2 linked regions of the Nothobranchius furzeri genome follow. The protein of the gene in region 1 interacts with the protein of each later gene in a pairwise test. Links are inferred from orthologs where the notes say so. Each region holds a gene or a part of one and is shown on either strand. Other genes may lie near its edges.

Region 1 (10,464 bases):
TAAAGCTCAATAAAGGACTTTTGGATGTTTTGTTCTGTTTTGCCTTTAGAAGAAGACATTGAGGTTTGTTAGTAACTTTAAATATCACATGTTTCATCATCTGCCAAAACAGTCACTGACATTCCTTCCTACACCATTTTCATACACCATTTTCATACAGCATTTTCACTGTTCTTCACTCGTTAATTACAATTAAACTATTTTGATTAAAAACAATTGAACCATTAATTTCTTTTAAAGAAAGAACATCTAAGCAGATTATTTCAGTTAACTGAACTCTAAGGTTTGCTCGTTTCTTCACTTTCCGTGTTAAGATCATATGTTTAGCTTGATGCAAATAAAGGAAAGAAAAAACAAATAAATGATGAAAAATAATAATTAGCAGAGGATGGTTTCGATCCATCGACCTCTGGGTTATGGGCCCAGCACGCTTCCGCTGCGCCATTCTGCTATGCGATGTTGATAACTGCATTTGGTACTTAAATAATTATAATAGCGGTTTTGTACAGTGAGTGTTAATTATAGTTCGTTTCATTTTGTAACGAGTGACATGTTTCTGTGTAGCTTTGAAGTAGGCCGTGTAATTTAAATAGTGTATACAATCGTAACGGACAGCAGTCAAGCCAGCCTCCATTTTGGAAACGACTGCCAGGCCGTCAGGAAGTAAATGCTTACTTCCAGAAAGTAAAAAAAAAAGATTAAAAATTTTTTTTTAATTTAACTTCCAGAAAGTCAGTCTCTGAACACGCTGATAAACGGCTTCAAAAGTTTGTGTTTAAAATTTACTTATAAGAGAAAAATGTGTTTATAAAGATTGTATCAGTGGAAAGGTTTCTATGTAGTGAGCTTTCAATAAATGTTTTCCTCACAGAACTGAAAGCAAAGCTTTCTTTAGTACTTTCTTATTATAAGTATTTGTGAGGGTTGTGCGCAGTTGTCTCTGTGGCGCAATCGGTTAGCGCGTTCGGCTGTTAACCGAAAGGTTGGTGGTTCGAGCCCACCCAGGGACGAGTAGTTTTCTCCTTGTGAGAAACGGTTATTTTTATGTCATCTTTTCATTATTACATTAAAACTATAACCACTTCTCCATCACCATACTGAATATCTTGACTAAATCCAACTAATAGTTTCGCTGACAGCCTCTAATACTCTCGTGAAAGGGTCCATGATCGTATATTTAACATGCATGTGAATTTGAAAAGGACGACTGAAAAAACAGAACATAAAAAATGCCAAAACAGCGAGTTTTTTTTTTTTCTTGATTCTTCAAAACTTAGTTGATGATACTTTTTGGGGATTACGACTTTGTGTTGTTTTAATATTTATTTTCTCTTGGAATTTAAAGAACAATTTTAAAAACCTTTGCTTTTAACACACACAGTTGGTCAACAGCTTGTATGAAACAACATCACATTCCAGTGGCAGTGAAGATGACGCCTGAGATAAAGCTTACACCCTCATCTCATTGCCACCCCCACCCCTTTCCAAACGTATGTACGCCTCTTTGCTGCAGGTTTTCCAGTCAGTGGATGCCCAGACAGGCAGGAGATACGTTTTTACACGTTACTAAAACCTGACAACACTTCTCATCTCAGCCACAAAGGTAAAAACTCTTTTATTTAGACAGCAATTGTACATCTTATATCAAATGTAAGTATTTTAGCCTAACCGTGCTTGTTCCTGTTTCAGAAAAAGAGTAATAGGGTTATTTTTTCATGCTAAAGTAAAATAAAGAAAACTTATTTAGAGATTTATTTCAATTGTTGTTATCTTATTAGAAAAACGGTGCTATGCTCCTTCTAGTCAGAAGATTTAGTGTTAAAAAACATCGCCTGCCAGGGTGCATGTTTATTTATAGAAAGGTGGTATGTTAGAATAAAGAAAATGCAGCTATGCATTGGTTTGGTAACAAGAAAGAATTAGCTTCTTCTGACTCATAAGCTTGATCGGTTGTTTGAGTGATGTGACTTTAATCAGGACCCCACTGTCATCATCACCTCAGCATCTTTCGATGAAGACTATGAGTCCAGAGAACAGTGTACCATTTCACATTTAATTCATATTTCATTTTAATTCTCATTTTTTCAAACCTCAAATATAAAATTTATTGTTTAAAAATGTTGTAGCAATATAAGGGCAAATTTAAATGTTAGTCAAAATATTGAAGGCTGATATTCTCCATGTCAAGAAAAAACAACATCCAAACACAAAAGTAAAATGTGATTGATAACAAAATGATACATTAGCTTTTTCATACATGTGTGTCACAACACACACATGTACACATATAAGATGTGCTCAGCGTGTGTGCATGTCAGACTAACCATAATCTCAGACTAATCTGATAAGTAAACTTTAGCCTGATTGGCTGTAAGTGTTTCTGACAACTGAGTAATTATGCAAACATAAGGAACACTTTAGATTTAGACGTGTAACCATACAAAGTACACAATAAAACACAATTAGAGTCATCATCTTAACAAGCTCAGCATCCAGCATTAAAATTTAAGTTTGAGTGAGGCCAATTCTTTACTCAAATATGGGCCAGTTCTGCGTTTCAGAACCCTTGTGATATAATTGATAGATTATTGAATGATTTGTACTTTTAAGAGGTTTACATGTGATGAAGAATGACTATTGAATTGTCAAATTCTGTAAAGAATAGTTGATCTTGACTAGATTTCACATTTAAATAATGTCATTTCACCTGCTAGGATGTCTGCTGCTACACAGGAAGAGGAGGAGCTGCCGTTAAATCACACAGGTTGGAGATACTAAAATAACTATTTAGCTTGCTATTGTTATGTATCACAGCTCAATGTAGAAATATTAATTTATCTTGCCCACTCATTTAAAAATACATTTCAGTAAATGAAAGCATGAATATATTTTTAATGGTCAAATACCTCTAACAGATATCTCTGCTGTGTCCAGGTCCAAAGGGTGTTATTAATGACTGGAGAAGGTTCAAACTGGACAGTGTGGACCAGACAGTCCCTCAAAAAAAGAAAGAGCTGCTCAGACAGATGTCCAATCCTCGGGAGGACGACAAGGAGAGAGCTAACAGAAAGGTGAGAAAGGACGCGCAGGAAACCAGATTTAATAATCTGCTCAGATTCCTGAGAAGAGCTGTACTTCCTGTATTCAGATGGGCGCTCAGGAGTACGAACTGATCAAAGACGAGGATGAGCGCTGCCTGAAACGCTACAGAAAGCAGTGCATGCAGGAAATGCATGAGCGTCTGAGCTTCGGTCCCAGGTTTGAATGTGTCCACGAGCTGGAGAGTGGAGAGGCCTTCCTGGAAGTGATAGAGAGGGAGCATCGGATGACCCTGGTGGTGGTCCACATTTATCAGCATGGGGTCAACGGTCGGGCTCCTCTTTCCTGTGACAGTGCTACATGTCCCTGCCTCCTAACCTCATTTACTTGTCCGTCCTCTATCAGGCTGTGAGCAGATGAACTCGAGTCTGGAGTGCCTGGCAGCGGAGTACCCCACTGTTAAGTTTTGTCGTATTGATGCTGTGGCGTCAGGTGCTGCAGAGCGCTTCTCCTCTGAGGTTTGTGCATTACAAAATAAAAACAAAGAATAAAAATGAATACTTTAGTTGACCGTAATTTTGAGAATAGATTGACATTACTAAAGTGTTCTAGGTTTTAGCTGTATCGTTTTAGTAAGAATAAACATTTTCGAAGCCCAAGAGCTTTGCAGTGGACTTGATCTAAAATGAGTTTGCTTTTTAAATCCCAGAAGAAAGAGATCTGAGTTTTATGGTTTTGCTGTTGGAGAGAACTTGCCATGAACGTTTCAATATCCCTTCCTGTAGGACTGCAAACACAATAAACAAACAGACCAAGATTGGCCTTTTCTAAAGAGAAATCAACTCTGAATTTAAAATTAGATCATGACCAATTCACGTGCTTTCTGTCCATTAAATAAAATTAAAAACTTGTAATAACAGAGAAGCTGTGTCCTGCACAAAACCTGAAAATACAACAGCAGCAGGCTTTAAAAATACCTGAAATTCTAATAAAACTTAGAATTTTTATTTAGATTGGTTAGTTTGGTGTTTCTGCAGCCTAAAACTACATATTAATTATCAATATTCATTAAAAATACATTTAAAAACCGAGACATTAGAATGTATTGGTACTGTCACTGATAAATAATTGTCTTCTGAAACAATCTGATTATTGTTTCAATCATCTCAGGTTCTCCCGACCCTGCTGGTCTACAAGGCCGGGGAGTTACTGGGTAACTTCCTGGCTGTCACCAAACACCTCAATGAAGAGTTCTTTGCCACAGATGTGGAGGCGTTTCTCAATGAATACGGCCTCTTACCAGAGAAGGAGTTCACTGCGTGTGCGGATGATGAAGACGATGGAGCAGACGTGGAGTAGAAGATGAAGAAAGACAGAGAATGTCATAAAACGTGTTTCAATCAGGTCACATGCACGCAAATTAAAGAACGAGCACCCAACAGTCAACAATACTCATGCTGATGCCTTAGAATGTAGGCGTGAGGAAGTCCGTACAGAAACCCTGCTTTGCAGAAACTTGTATCATTGCACTCCAATAAAAGATATTTATTCGAACTCTTTCTGTCTGTTGAAATGGAAAACAGGAAGTTATTTCCATGTGCATTAATTCCAGATTAGGAAGATGCAACATATGGAACATTATGCTGCTGCTACCATGAAAATATAATTCCTCTAACTAAAAGGCTTGTGTAATGGTTTGCATTACGTGATGTGAATATGTGGTTTAAGCTAAATTAAAGTCATGAGACTCATGTGGAAATTGACCTTTCTGCTCTCAGAGTGATTATAAAGGCACAGAGGAACCAGGAGGACTTTACTGTCGAGAGGGAAAAGATAACTGATGTCTTTTGGGAACGTGGAAATTATTTATGTGGAAAAATAATAAATTCTGCTGTGCACTACCAAGTATTACATCCTCTCAGTATAGAGGTGGTTAAATGAAAAAAGTAATAGTAATTTAGGAAGCACTGATAATATTTATACATTAAATCCGAGTGGCTCTGAAGTGAGAACAAAGCGTTCTAAATGTTCTGGTTTATTTAGCATTTTTATCAGCATCCGTGTTTTGCCATCTCAAAACAAGTCAAATATAGTCCAGGTTTTAGACAAAACAAATTTTAAGCTCCTCTCAGAGTGACAGCTGGAAGCTTAATGTGCATCCCAGTTCATAGAGGCATTAAAGGAATAAAAAATCTGACCCCAAAACAATATGCACAAAATAGCAACATAGGATAAGGAGTAAATATTAGATTAAACCTTTTATCCCCAAAAAGACACACACAAAATATGAAAGTGTAAAAAGTAAAGTTATTATATATTTCTAGCCAAATTTTTCTTATTTTTTTTTAAATTAATAAATACTTAATTACATCATTAGAGTTGGAATCATATATTTCTATAACCAGTCCACTAGGGGGCAGTAGTGTTCTCTAAAGGCTGCCTGTTAAGTAGAAAAAGAATACCTTGAGGTTCAGCGGTCTTTAGAGGATAAATAAAAGACTCGAATGGTTGTTATTTGTCCAGGAGATCCTTCAGGTGATCTTAAATTGTTAAATTAAAAATTTGAAGCCATAAATCGGAAGAAAATGCAGGATGACGCGCGGTACCTCAAACGGTGAGTTGAAAGGTGCGGCTAGAACCGTACTGGCCGTTGAAATTAGCCATGTTGATATAATTTTAGGGATGACAAGTAATAATCTCTGGGTGAGACGTAAGAGTGTTTTAATTATTGTTTTAATTTGAATTCGTCCTAGTTTTAGTGTGCAGCTGTATGCTTGGAGGTTGAACCCGATGTCTTGTTTAAAATTTAGGGGAATTTAAGGTTCCGACGCTGGACTGAAGATTGGACCATTCCTGTTTATTTCGAATATAGGCAATTATTAACTATCCCGAGCCACGAAATCATTCGGCATAAACGAATTTCACACAGCTGTCACCTATAAGATACACTATTCCTGAAAAGCATTTCTACAATCACCGCCCCCTGCTTCGTTAGCGTTTAGCTCATCAGAACGAGAGACCAACAACAGGATTTTAGTATCATGTGCTTTTTCTTGCATCTGTTTCTGGAAGAAACGTTTCAGTCGCAATCCTCCTGTTAACTGTAATAATCAGTGGAACTGCTCCAGAGAGGAAGGAATGCTGGGAAATCTGGGCTCCTGCTAACCCTGAAGATTCTGTTAAACATAAAAACAATGTAGCCGGATAATAAATCATACTAACTAGGTTTATCACGGGACATTTGATTCAGTGTTGTAGCTGACGAGGTTTAGCTTTTTTTTTAAATAAAAGCAGTCTTTGTTATGTTTGTGCATGGGCGTGTCCTACTGCTTTTGATCCAGGAACACATATAATAAAAATAGCTGTCACTGCCAAGAGCTTATTACTGCATTCAACATTAAAGAGCAAGTCACCCCCAAATCAACTTTTTCTTGCTGATAAACTATATAAATGTGTAACTAACTGTGCTGCAGACACGTGTCGTCAATAATTTGATACTTCAGTGCATCTTAGTTAAAATTTAAATATTCTGCCTAAAACTGTCAGTGTTGCGCTGTTGTCAGGTAAAAACTCTGCACTGCATTTGAATTTAAATCTGCCACCGCTATTGGCTAAGAGGTATGCTATGATGTAAACTGGTCTATTATGATGTCACAATGCCATTGTGAGCCTGTGTGTGTGTATTTGTTAGTGGCTCCGCCCTCTCGGTCTGCTAGGCAACAGCATTTGTTGCATTTTTCAAACATGAAGAGGGAGTGAAGTAAGTTTCTTGTAGGGGGTGACTTGCTCTTTAAATTGCATTATGGAAATAATTGTATTTAACTCAGATTTACTTTGGAAACTAAAACCACAGGCGTAAACTGTTTATTATCATTCATAGAAAAGTGACTGCAGGCAGTTTGGATGTCCATCCCACTGAGAAAGCCCTTGTGGTCCAGTATGAGGTGGAGGCATCCATCCTGGGGGAGAATGGAGGTCCGATGCTGGGTGAACGCAAGGAGGGACAAAAAATGTGAGTAAGCTCCTAATTTATCGTTGACAGCATCTGCCCCTGTTCTTTATCTTATTAGAAATAACCAGTTAATGGCAGTTTTTGCTGGTTTATGTAACATGTTATGTGTCATCCTTCTCCTTTCCCCTTCAGAATCCGCGTGAAAAGCCTCTCTCCTACTACAGATGTGGCCGCTTTGGCCAGGAAAGTGGTAGAGGAGTGTAAACTCATCCCCGCCTCCCGCTTGCCACAGGTGGAGCAGCTGCTTTATTACCTACAGAACAGGAAATCCTCCCCAGTGGAGGCCAAAGGGGGTACGTTTAGAAGCTTTTACCTGTTAGCTCTGATTTATTGTTCAAACACACCAATAAAGTATGAGAGGGACTAACTGCACAGTGACATTAAGAAGCAGGATGTAAAACATTCACTGCTTTTCTTGTTTGCCTTTAGTGGAAAAGAAAGAGAAGAAAACAGTGAAGCCTAAAGATCTGACACCATTTGAGGGAACGGAGGTAATGATGTTAAGTACTCGTTTCATTCCTCATTCGTTGTGTTAGGTGTAACAGTGTGTGTTTCTTTCTTTGTTGTTTTATTTATTTTTCGTGTGTAGTTGAACGAGGAAGCTAGCATAACAAAGATGGATGAGTATGTTGAGCTGCTTTATGAAGGCCTCCCAGAGAAGATCCGAGGCTCTGGTCTCATTTTGCAGCTCGCCCGTAACCCAGATAACCTGGAGGAGCTGCTTTACAACGGTACATGTTCCTTCCAACATGCTTACGCAGCCATCCTCTAGTTGTTTAGCGTGAATTTCTCCCTGTTTGTGTCTACAGAAGCAGCTTTAGGTGCGCTGGCCCGGGTTCTGAGAGAGGACTGGAAACAGAGCGTAGAGCTTGCTACTATTATCATTTACATCTTCTTCTGCTTTTCAAGGTAACCCTGATGCACAGCTGGCGTGATGGTCCTTCAGTACTTCTAAATGATTCATCCTTTCACATCCCTTCCTCCAGTTTCTCCCAGTTTCACGCTGCAGTGAGTCACTATAAAATCGGAGCGCTTTGTATGAGTGTGGTGGAACATGAACTGAAGAGGCATGACATGTGGCGTGAGGAGCTACGCAAGAAAAACAAAGCTTATATCCATTTTCTGCTATCATTTTGTCCATTTAATTTAAGATGATCGATTTTTTTGAGGTCTTCTGTATTGTTTCTGTTGCCCTTGACTATCTTTTGTGCACGTGAGTCTGCGCCAGAAAATGGCTCCTTAAGACGAGACCAGGACAAAACGCTGAGAAAATACCAAGCCCTTCTGGCTAAGCAGGAGCAGCTGCTCAGAGGTGAAACAGGATTTTTCCTTTTAAATTTTCATGGGATTAAAACCTCTTATAAATAGAATTTATTTGGTTATGTTCATTTTTTTTTCCTTTTAGTTTCTCTCTACCTGCTGTTGAACCTCGCTGAGGACACCAGGACAGAGCTGAAGATGAGGAACAAAAACATTGTTGGACTGCTGGTCAAAGTTCTTGACCGTGATGATGAGGAGCTGCTGGTTCTGGTGGTTTCCTTCCTCAAAAAGCTGTCGATCTTCCTGGAGAATAAGAACGACATGGTGAGCAGGAGGGCTTAGTTGTTCTACACTAACTACTTTTGCCTGTTTTAACAAGAAGTCAGCAAGCTTTGTCATTAGTCCAGCTCTGATGTGACCGTGTGTGTGGCACGCAGGCTGAGCTGGACACCGTGGAGCGACTGGCTCGTCTGATTCCCTGTGAACACGATGATTTGTTGAATCTGACTCTACGTCTGCTGCTCAACCTCTCGTTTGACTCCGGACTTCGAGCCAAGATGGTGGAAGTCGGGCTGGTGCCCAAACTGACAGCGTTGTTGGGTAACGTTAAACACAGATTCTTCACAGCTTCCTGAGTAAATGACGGAAATGAGACAGAAGTCAAACCCACTGTCTGACAGGAACTACGTTGTAGACCTTATAAGTATTCACACCCCATCCCGTTCACTCAGATCTTCTTCTTCCATCCATCTTGCGGTTCCTTCTGCCCGTCTCGCTACCATGAGTTCCAGAGACGGGGAGCAGAGCTTTCAGCCGCTCTGCTCCCCGTCTCTGGAACTCACTTCCCCCAGACATCAGGAACATCGACAGTTTTACCCTTTTCCAATCAAAACTCAAAACACACATGTTTAAATCTGCCTACAACCTTGAACTGTTTCTCTCTTTGTTTTTTCTTGTTTGGGTTTTATTATTGTTTTATTGTATTTTATCATGTGTTTTCTGTAAAGTGACCTTGGGTGTCCTGAAAGGCGCTTTTAAATAAAATGTATTATTATTATTATTATTATTATCATTATTATTATTGTAGTAAGTGTATGAATATTCGAACACGTTTGTTACGATGCAGGTGATGAGAATAACCGACAGGTAGCCATGCGCCTCCTGTACCACATCAGCATGGACGACCGCTTCAGAGGCATGTTCGTTTACACCGACTGCATCCCTCAGGTACGCCACGATCCACTTCCATTCATAGTGACTGAGCGTTCCAGAGGATGAGCCAAATCTGTGTTTGTGTCTGGAACCAGCTCATGCAAATGCTCTACGACCACGGCGAGGAGGAAATTGATGTGGAACTCATCTCCATCTGCATCAACCTGTCTGCTAACAAGAAGAACGCACAGCTCATGTGTGAAGGTATTTGGTTTTTTGATGTTTCAGGGCTAAATCTGTATTTGAACTGAACAGCTTTTGCTTGGTGCCTTTCCGGTTTTAGGAAATGGACTGAAGATGCTCATGAAGCGAGCTCTGAAGACTAAAGACTGCCTTCTGATGAAGATGATCAGAAACATCTCACAGCATGATGGTCCAACCAAGCCGCTGTTTATAGTACGTTGTGAGACACACAGTAATTTGTCATTTTGACAAACTAAAGCATCACTCGTGCTTCACAGAAGGATTGTTTTGTCTGATGATCTGAGTAATCTTCACTAGGACTATGTGGGAGATCTGGCTGCAGAGATCCGTGCTGTAGAAGGGGAGGTGTGGATCCTGGAGTGTCTGGGAACGTTGGCCAACCTCACCATTCCTGACCTGGACTGGGAGCTGCTGCTGAAAGAATATAACCTGGTGCCTTTCCTCAAAGACAATCTCAAACCAGGTATCAGTTAAATCATTCAGAAGACAGAATTAGAAGAAATTACCCGTTGTCTCAGTTTGCCAGAAAGCCTCTCTGTTCATATTTCAGACTCGGCAGAGGATGACCTCATACTGGAGGTGGTCATAATGATTGGAACAGTTTCCATGGATGACGCCTGCGCTGTCATGTTGGCTAAATCTGGCATCATTCCTGCCCTTATTGAACTACTGAATGGTAAAAATAAAAAAGAAAACCAGATTAGGACATTTTCCCTGGATTATTATCAACTCTCACT
Region 2 (9,108 bases), on another chromosome or scaffold:
AGATGTTCTGCTCAGCAAGAACAATAAAACTTGATGCATTTTCAGGTGTTACAGTTTGTTCCCAGGAAGTTCTTCAACAAAGGCTGCAGGAAATATTCCAGTGTTCCCATTAGACTGCCCTTCAAACCAGTCCTGATTGACTGAAGCAAAACACGTTTGAGTTAGACTCGCATCTATTAATTAAATCTGTTTTTATTAGTTCACATAGTTTGGAATCTCACCTCTGGAGAGCAGTTTGATCATATCACCCTCTTGGAAGTTCAGATCTTCTGGATTGGAGGACTTGTAGGAGTGAAGAGCTACGAAGTGAATCTCTTTCTGGGGCTGAAATCGTAAAACACTCGTTCAGTTTGAGCTCATTTATTGTCGCATTAAAATATTTCTGTTTGTTTCAGAACATTTTAGTCACTTGCTATAAATTACAGACTGGCCATGCTAACAATTCTCTGAAAATTATCTATTGTCAATAGTCTTGACCAAAAGCCAGGCTCTGGGGTTCATTGTGAGACATTAAGAGGTCAAAGGTCATCCAAAATGAGCTACATCTTAAAAGAATAAATCATGTTAATCTCCCAGAGAAGGAATGAATGTTTTTGTTAGGTGTTTCGCTATATTTGGTGCATATGGGTGGTTTATCTAATCAAAAGACTCAGACCCTCCAAAATCCCCTTTAAATTTGTATTTTAAGGCAAAGAAAATCTGCTCAGTTAAACTTTAATCTCTTGATTTCATATTTCCTTTATTCAGTTATCGTAGTTGCTGCTGTCTGGGGAAAAAAAAACTCATATGGAGTCGAATGAAATATTAAGCCTAATTTTAATGTTAATAGCTTAAATGGTCACCGTGTCCTTACCTCTGTGGTGGTACACCATAAGGTGATGTGTCCACCACTGGCACGTCTCCACACATCCTTCATGTCTGTGTTGGCATCAATTACACTTTTCCCATTTGCATCACAGCTGAAATCAAACAAACAGGACTGACTTTATTTTACTTTGTAAAAGTAAAAAGTATGTAAACATAACTCAGAATTGTTCTGACTGAAGTGACTTTTGTACCTCAAAGAGATAGCAGTAGGAGGAAGATTTAACTTCTTGCTGACTTTTCCTATCAGTACCACATACGGAGACCCACGCGGTACGGAAACCGCAAAGTTGAATGTGAAATGGATTTTGACTGTATATGAGCTGTCTGTTGGCTGGACCACCTAATAAGGAAGAGTCACACCTGAATTTAAAAGGCGAGGATCATTTTAACAGTGAACATGTTGGAGCCAAACCTGCGGAGTTCTCCCACTGCTGCTCTCCACTGGAGTGAGACCTTAAAAGGAGAAAGGAGGTCTAATTACCTCATCGGGACTGGAGGGGCAAAGCCTGGTTTTGATGAGGTGAAGGGTTCTTGATAACCCTTTAATGCCAAACGTATAAAACATACTACCAGCTTTCATAGACCTTTATCTAACAGGATTAGTACATTCCTTCAGTTTTTGTGCCACTGGATTTTTTTCTCCTGTTTTCTTGCGGACGATGTACATTAAAGTATTCAGACCCCCATAAATGTTTCACAGTGTGGCAAGGTGGAGAAACGAGGGCCCGGGCGGGATGCGATCCCTAGACTCCCGGGTGCGAGTCATGCCCGCTAACCAGTCAGCCAAATATCCCTTTGGCGAAGTAGCCAGGGCACATGATCAATCGGGACCCTGTGACAGGACACTCACCCTGCCGCATCTCTTTTTATATTGCAAACATTTGGTAAAATCAATTAAATTCTTTATCCCTTCATTAATGTACACAGAGCACCCCATATTGAGAGAATAACTCAGAATTTTAGAGATTTCTGCAGGTTTATTAAAAAAGACAAACTGATACATCACATGGTCCTGAGTACTCAGACCCTTTGCTCGGTATTTAGTAGAAGTACCTTTTGAGCTAGTACAGCTATGAGTCTTCTTGGTAAAGATGCAACAAGTGTCTTACATCTAGATTTGGGGATCCTGTCATTCCTCCTGCAGATCCTCGCCAGTTCTGTCAGGTTGGATGGTGAACAGTGTGCCATTTTTAGGTCTCCAGAGAGGCTCAGTTGGGTTTAAGTCAGGGTTCTGGCTGGGCCTTTTAGTTGCTGTGAAGCCACCCCTTCGTTATTTTAGCTGTGTGTTTAGGGTCACTGTCATGTTGGAAGGTAAACCTTCAGCCCAGTCTGAGGTCCTGAGCACTCTGGAGAAGGTTCTGGTCCAGGATATACCTGTACTTGGCCGCATTCATCGTTTCCTCTATTGCAACCAGTCGTCCTGTCCCTGCAGCTGAAAAACACCCCCACAAAATGATGCTGCCACCGCCATGCTTCACTGTGGGGACTGTATTGGACAAGTGATGAGCAGTGCCAGGTTTTCTCCAAACATACCACTTAGAATTATGGCCATAAAGTTCTATCTTGGTCTAAGACCAGATAATCTTATTTCTCACCATCTCGGGGTCCTTCAGGTGTCTTTTAGCAAACTCAATGAGGATTTTTACGAGTCTTGCACTGAAGCGAGGCTTCCGACGGTCCCCTCTGCCGTAAAGCCCTGACTGGTGGAGGGCTGCAGTGACAATTTCTACAGCCTGCTTTAGGAAGCAAACATCTTCCATTTAATGATTATGGAGGCCACTGTACTCTTAGGAACCTTAAGAGCAGCAGAGATGTTTTGGTAACCATGGCCAGATCTGTGCCTCGCCACAATTCTGTCTCTGAGCTCTTCAGGCAGTTCCTTTGATCTCACGATTCTCATTTGCTCTGACATGCATCATGAGCTGTAAGGTTTTATATAGACAGATGTGTGTCTTTCTTAATCAAGTCCAGTTAGCATAATCAAACCCAGCTGGACTCCAATGAAGGTGTTGGACCATCACAAGTATGATCAGAAGAAATGGAAAGCACCTCACAGCAAAGGGTCTGAATACTAAAGACCATGAGATATTTCAGGTTTTCTTTTTCAATACATACATTTCTAAAATTCTGTGTTTTTCTGTCAATATGGGATGCCATGTGTACATTAATGAGGGGAAAAAAAGCAAATGGCTGCAATATAACAGTGAAAAAATGATGAGGGTCTGAATACTTTCCATACCCACTGTATGTATTGCATGAGATAAAAGTAAATCACATTTTATTACCCAACAAAAATATTTCACTTCTTATCACCTTGTGATAAATGGATCAGTCTTGTGAAAAATATGGGAATAAAAGCAGGTTTTATAGTGTATACCCAAACCAGGGGTCGTGTATGGTTAGGGGACTGTTTCAGCTTGGGCTACACAAATTAATGGCAGCATTAATACAAATGTGTAGTTGTGAGATCTACCTTTCCTCTCAGGTCTGGTTGGTGGTTCTTGACTCAGAGGTCTGGCTAAACCCTGATAATTGTTCCCAATCAAAATATGGGAAAAGGAAAAAAAAAACATTAAAGAAGTCAAGTTTCCATACTGTTCAACGTAGCCTAAGTAAATTTTAAAGAACAACGAGTTTTTCTGGACTATGTCCAGAGAAAATGATGCCGAACAGGAAGTCACTGATACAGCAGCCCTACCTTGTGTTGATTTGAAGCCAAGGAAATTTCCAAACGCTCTAGGTAATTGTAAGGAACAAGTCCTCTCTGTAATCGACATCATACTGGATAATAATCAATAGAACTTAAAAACATAAATTACTAATTCAGCCCATCCCTGATTTTAGTCCTACTCTTTCATTGAAGACCACGTAGGCCCAGTTGTCGTCACCCTTCTGCAGCACAAACACAATGTTTCCTGGCACAACAGCCAACTCATCACTGGTCTCAGGGTCAAACTCAAACAGCACGGTGTGTGGTTCTCCTTGTAGAGCTCTGTGGAGACGAGATGTCCACATGTCCTCGTGAGAAACAGAACAATTAGAATATGATGATTATATTTTATCTGCTGTTTGGTTTATCTATTTGGGACATGTTCACTTTCAGATCACAGCAAAAGAAAATCTAATACATGTTCAAACTGACCTCAAAACTTCTGGTTCTTTTGGAGAAGTTGGACCATCTTCGACCTAACAAAATACAGGACTTTCACTTTTAACCACCATTGCAAAAAGGCTTTATATTTCACATCGTAAAGAACTAATGTACATATGACGCTGCTCAGACTTCCCCTCGTCATGAGTGGATTTGATCTGCCCTGGTATATTAGAGGCTAATGAAACATTTATTTATCTTCTGAGGACTTTATTGGTCTCAGTTTGATTTGATTCCTCACCTGCGGTTGTAGCGGGGCAAACCCAGAGAACTCATCTTGTGGAACCACAGAGGAAACAACCTAATGTTTCGAAAAATACATTTTAAATGGAGTTTTATGCCGTTCTTCATCAATAATATATATCTGTAAATCTGAATAATCCACAATTAAAATGGATTATGTTAAAATCTGTGATTGTTGGTCTGGTTGTTATATGCATACCTTAGCTTTGCCCAGGTAGTCCTTTTTCTCCAGCTCAGCCACATAGTGCTTGTTTGGTCTAAACAGCATTTTCAAAGGGAATTCCACCGGTTTGAAAAGCTTTTGTTTCTGTCAGAAAAAAAAAACACATATTGAAAAGTATTACTTAAATTAATTTGAAAGATTTTGGGATTTTAGAAGATTCACTTACAGTGGGGCAAAAAAGTATTTAGTCAGCCACCGATTGTGCAAGTTCTCCCACTTAAAATGATGACAGAGGTCAGTAATTTTCATCATAGGTACACTTCAACTGTGAGAGACAGAATGTGAAAAAAAAATCTATGAATTCACATGGCAGGATTTTTAAAGAATTTATTTGTAAATCAGGGTGGAAAATAAGCATTTGGTCGCTTCAAACAAGGAAAATCTCTGGCTCTCACAGACCTGTAACGTCTTCTTTAAGAAGCTTTTCTGTCCTCCACTCGTTACCTGTATTAATGGCACCTGTTTGAACTCATTATCTGTATAAAAGACACCTGTCCACAGCCTCAAATAGTCAGACTCCAAACTCCACTATGGCCAATACCAAAGAGCTTTCGAAGGACACAAGGAAAAGAATCGTAGACCTGCACCAGACTGGGAAGAGTGAATCTACAATAGGCAAGCAGCTTGGTGTGAAAAAATCAACTGTGGGAGCAATTATCAGAAAACGGAAGACATACAAGACCACTGATAATCTCCCTCGATCTGGGGCTCCACGCAAGATCTCATCCCGTGGGGTCAAAATGATCATGAGAACGGTGAGCAAGAATCCCAGAACCACACGGGGGGGGGGGGGGGGGGGGGGACCTGGTGAATGACCTGCAGAGAGCTGGGACCACAGTAACAAAGGTCACCATCAGTAACACACTACAACGGCAGGGAATCAAATCCTGCAGTGCCAGACGTGTTCCGCTGCTGAAGCCATTGCATGTCCAGGCACGTCTGAAGTTTACCAGAGAGCACATGGATGATACAGCAGAGGATTGGGAGAATGTCATGTGGTCAGATGAAACCAAAGTAGAACTTTTTGGTATAAACTCAACTCGCCGTGTTTGGAGGAAGAAGAATACTGAGTTGCATCCCAAGAACACCATTCCTACTGTGAAGCATGGGGGTGGGAACATCATGCTTTGGGGCTGTTTTTCTGCTAAGGGGACAGGACGACTGATCCGTGTTAAGGACAGAATGAATGGGGCCATGTATCGTGAGATTCTGAGACAAAACCTCCTTCCATCAGTGAGAGCTTTGAAGATGAAACGTGGCTGGGTCTTCCAACACGACAATGATCCCAAACACACCGCCCGGGCAACAAAGGAGTGGCTCCGTAAGAAGCATTTGAAAGTCCTGGAGTGGCCTAGCCAGTCTCCAGACCTCAACCCCATAGAAAATCTGTGGAGGGAGTTGAAAGTCCGTGTTGCTCGGCGACAGCCCCAAAACATCACTGCTCTCGAGAAGATCTGCATGGAGGAATGGGCCAAAATACCAGCTACTGTGTGTGCAAACCTGGTAAAGACCTATAGTAATCGTTTGACCTCTGTTATTGCCAACAAAGGTTATGTTACAAAGTATTGAGTTGAATTTTTGTTATTGACCAAATATTTATTTTCCACCCTGATTTACAAATAAATTATTTTAAAATCCTGCCATGAGAATTCATGGATTTTTTTTCACATTCTGTCTCTCACAGGTGAAGTGTACCTATGATGAAAATTACTGACCTCTGTCATCATTTTAAGTGGGAGAACTTGCACAATCGGTGGCTGACTAAATACTTTTTTGCCCCACTGTATCTTCTTCCTTCCAAAACCCAAATAGCCAACACCTATGCTGATAAAATGTTGATTTCTAAACATATGTGGATGTGTGTAATTGAATTATATTAATGAAGTGTAACCGTATTTTATGAGAGGATGATCGTAACTGACCAGGGTTGACTGCAGAGCCCTGTCGATGAGGCTGAGCTTGGCATCTGTCTTGTAGTCCAGTGCCTTGACCAGGTTTTCCTGGGCCTTTTCCCAGCTACCCAGCTTAGCTTCAGCCAGGGCAAGATTGTGGAGAACCTGAAGCAGGAGGTGTCGACGTGACACTGAGTTAGGAGCTTTTCAGTCACACCGTCTTATCAGGTTTATTTGAAGCCCTCATATTGAAAACTGAATTAGGAAGAGCTGAGGCTTCAACGGTTTCCTCTTTGCAAGAATATATAAATCACATTGAAAATGAGGAATTACCATCATCAGCCAGCTTTATTTTAACCTCAGATTTCTGACGGACAGTAGAGCTAAAGCTCACCTCACAGGCATATAGGATGTATCTGAGACCTAGTGCTTTGTAATCGATCAGCTGGTTACCCCTCAGAGCTTTAAAGGCTCTCTGGAAATCAGCTGAACTCTCCTCATACCTGTGACCAAGACAAGTAAAGGTAATAATTATTACACATAAGGCAAGTTTTATAAAACATTTGATGTAATTTACCTTTTCTTTTTGTAAAATGTCATTCCCCTCTGAAAGAAGGCAACTGCCAAATGCTCATCCTTGCGAATGCTGCAGTCAAACGCCTGAGAAATAACAGGTAAGAAAATAACTTCCTCTAAAGGAGCAGAAAGCCGGTGACACCACTTCTTCTTTCACTGTGACTTGCACTTTCAGAAACCTCTATAGGGAGCCTAAGTCACGTCCTTCCGGACCATGGGTCCTCAGCTGCCAAGAAAATTGAAATTGAATATTTTCTGATCCTGTTTGATCTGTTCAGGGGACCCGTGAGCCAACCGGAGGGCTCCTTATATCTGACACGTTTCATCTCAGCCTTGCCAAATAAATCCAGATGATTTTACTTTCTTACGTGCACAGACTTGCAGATTTGATTTAAAATAAAGTAGATCTAACGTACCTTTTCAGCATCATCCAAGTCTTGGTTCAGAAGATGAAGGCAACCAATGTCAAAGTAAATTTTGGAATTTGGTTCTTGAATGGATAAGAAAATGCAGAGGGCTTCTGACCATTCCTGTCTGTCGGCACAAGTTACAGCTTTGTCCCACTGCCGCAGAGTGTCCACATAAGACATGTTTGTTGGCTTACCAGCACACTGATTCTACATTGAGGAAGTTCTTCTTATTTGTACCAGTGAAACTGGGAAGTGTGATGACAGCTGTTACGATTTACAAATGCATCACAATCAGCTCTAAGTGCTAAAGCCACATTTAAATTATTTTCTCCCGTTCAGTGCAATAATTGCACTCTAACTTACTGCTGATGTACCAAACAATTTGCACATTGTGTCCAGGAAATATGTATATTTTTATATCTACTTTTTCAGATGGTCTTGTGTTTATTTTTTATCTGGTATGTCAAATGCTCTATTTGAGTTCCATCAATATTAGCCTACAGTTAACAAAAGCTTTATGATTTAGATTCTAGAGATTTTCTATCTTTGAATAAATTGTGGGTTTAAATGTGTGTGTGTGTGTGTGTGTGTGTGTGTGTGTGTGTGTGTGTGTGTGTGTGTGTGTGTGTGTGTGTTTAGCTCTAAACTAACGTTGGCATTTTATAAGCAGAAAAGCTTGAGATGCATAATGAAAAATGTTTCACATCTAATTGATTTCTAGTATTTTTTAAATAATTATTTTTTAACTTTATTTTGTAAATTTACAAACAAACATGGCACTTTGACAATGTTAAATCCAAAACTCAAATTGATTTCCAGTGTTGTAACGACCTTAACTTTGATGACATTCAGACATTTTTACTGAAATAAGTAATGTTCAGATTATTGTTTGTTCTTCTTTAATAATTCTAAATTTATTGAGCTGCAATATTTATTTAGTAAATATATGATGTGTTTTTGTGCCAAATGCACAAAAACAACTTCCGGGTTTTTCCTTTCAAAATAAATTTCTTGTGACATGACTATAATCACAAAATACTGGTGCGTTTTCTTACAACACTAACATCATATTATAAATGTGTATTTATATATTCTCAAGGAATTCAACGATTTCGCCTTTCAATAATAACGTATCTTCTTTACTTGAATGTATAAAATGCTCTTATTTTGATAGAGTAAAAACGTTTATCCGTTAGCTCATCGCTAGCTAAACAAACATGGCTCTACTACACTTTCGGAGTACGAACCTTTATGATGCGTAGAACAAATGAAAATTGGAGCTATGTAAGGATTAACAAGAAATAAGTCATGTTTGGTATGACTGTTTAGATTAAGTTGCTATATTATTTGTGTTGGTAGCTCGGAGCACCCTTTTGTGTCCGTATTTACACACAGCTAGCTCCAGAGTTGGCTAATGTGAGCTAACAAGATGGACCTTGGAACAATGTTGTACAATAATTTGAAAGATGTTACTTGGAGCTCAACGTCTTTACCTTTGGATCAGCTTGTCAGTGCATATAAAATGCCCCAAATCGTCAAACTGGACAGCGGTTAGTAACTTTGTTATTATGCATTTAAAGCAGTCATCTTTGCGCTAAACATCAACAAACTGTTAAGTTGGTGTTTATATATATATATATATATATATATATATATATATATATATATATATATATATATATATATATATATATATATATATATATATATATATATATATATATATGTATGTCTTAATGATGCTTA

Evidence for each region.
Region 2: the proteins of kinesin-associated protein 3 (region 1) and ncf2 interact in binary tests that used the Homo sapiens proteins (3 or more experiments, as listed by UniProt). The two-hybrid records come from large-scale screens. The link is inferred for Nothobranchius furzeri from reciprocal best matches to the Homo sapiens genes KIFAP3 and NCF2.

What each region holds. Positions count from the first base shown.
Region 1 is NC_091751.1:58,723,664-58,734,127, forward strand, and holds the start of kinesin-associated protein 3, read left to right. Parts: upstream 1-5,491; 5' UTR 5,492-5,624; coding exon 5,625-5,653; intron 5,654-6,919; coding exon 6,920-7,051; intron 7,052-7,183; coding exon 7,184-7,344; intron 7,345-7,480; coding exon 7,481-7,542; intron 7,543-7,640; coding exon 7,641-7,782; intron 7,783-7,860; coding exon 7,861-7,960; intron 7,961-8,037; coding exon 8,038-8,162; intron 8,163-8,264; coding exon 8,265-8,363; intron 8,364-8,456; coding exon 8,457-8,635; intron 8,636-8,748; coding exon 8,749-8,911; intron 8,912-9,437; coding exon 9,438-9,538; intron 9,539-9,618; coding exon 9,619-9,727; intron 9,728-9,806; coding exon 9,807-9,919; intron 9,920-10,024; coding exon 10,025-10,190; intron 10,191-10,277; coding exon 10,278-10,403; intron 10,404-10,464. Other genes in the region: ceramide synthase 2, read left to right, coding at 1-13; pdca (phosducin a), read left to right, coding at 2,716-2,764, 2,935-3,071, 3,149-3,368, 3,445-3,557, 4,210-4,398. UniProt on the Homo sapiens protein: Involved in tethering the chromosomes to the spindle pole and in chromosome movement. Binds to the tail domain of the KIF3A/KIF3B heterodimer to form a heterotrimeric KIF3 complex and may regulate the membrane binding of this complex.
Region 2 is NC_091747.1:36,771,049-36,780,156, forward strand, and holds the start of ncf2 (neutrophil cytosol factor 2), read right to left. Parts: upstream 7,565-9,108; 5' UTR 7,543-7,564; coding exon 7,369-7,542; intron 7,037-7,368; coding exon 6,954-7,036; intron 6,880-6,953; coding exon 6,771-6,879; intron 6,542-6,770; coding exon 6,407-6,541; intron 4,569-6,406; coding exon 4,461-4,568; intron 4,320-4,460; coding exon 4,260-4,319; intron 4,054-4,259; coding exon 4,010-4,053; intron 3,860-4,009; coding exon 3,718-3,859; intron 3,632-3,717; coding exon 3,566-3,631; intron 3,411-3,565; coding exon 3,341-3,410; intron 1,321-3,340; coding exon 1,280-1,320; intron 1,208-1,279; coding exon 1,059-1,207; intron 960-1,058; coding exon 854-959; intron 325-853; coding exon 222-324; intron 141-221; coding exon 49-140; 3' UTR 1-48. Other genes in the region: garem (GRB2-associated and regulator of MAPK protein 1), read left to right, coding at 8,792-8,912. UniProt on the Homo sapiens protein: Subunit of the phagocyte NADPH oxidase complex that mediates the transfer of electrons from cytosolic NADPH to O2 to produce the superoxide anion (O2(-)).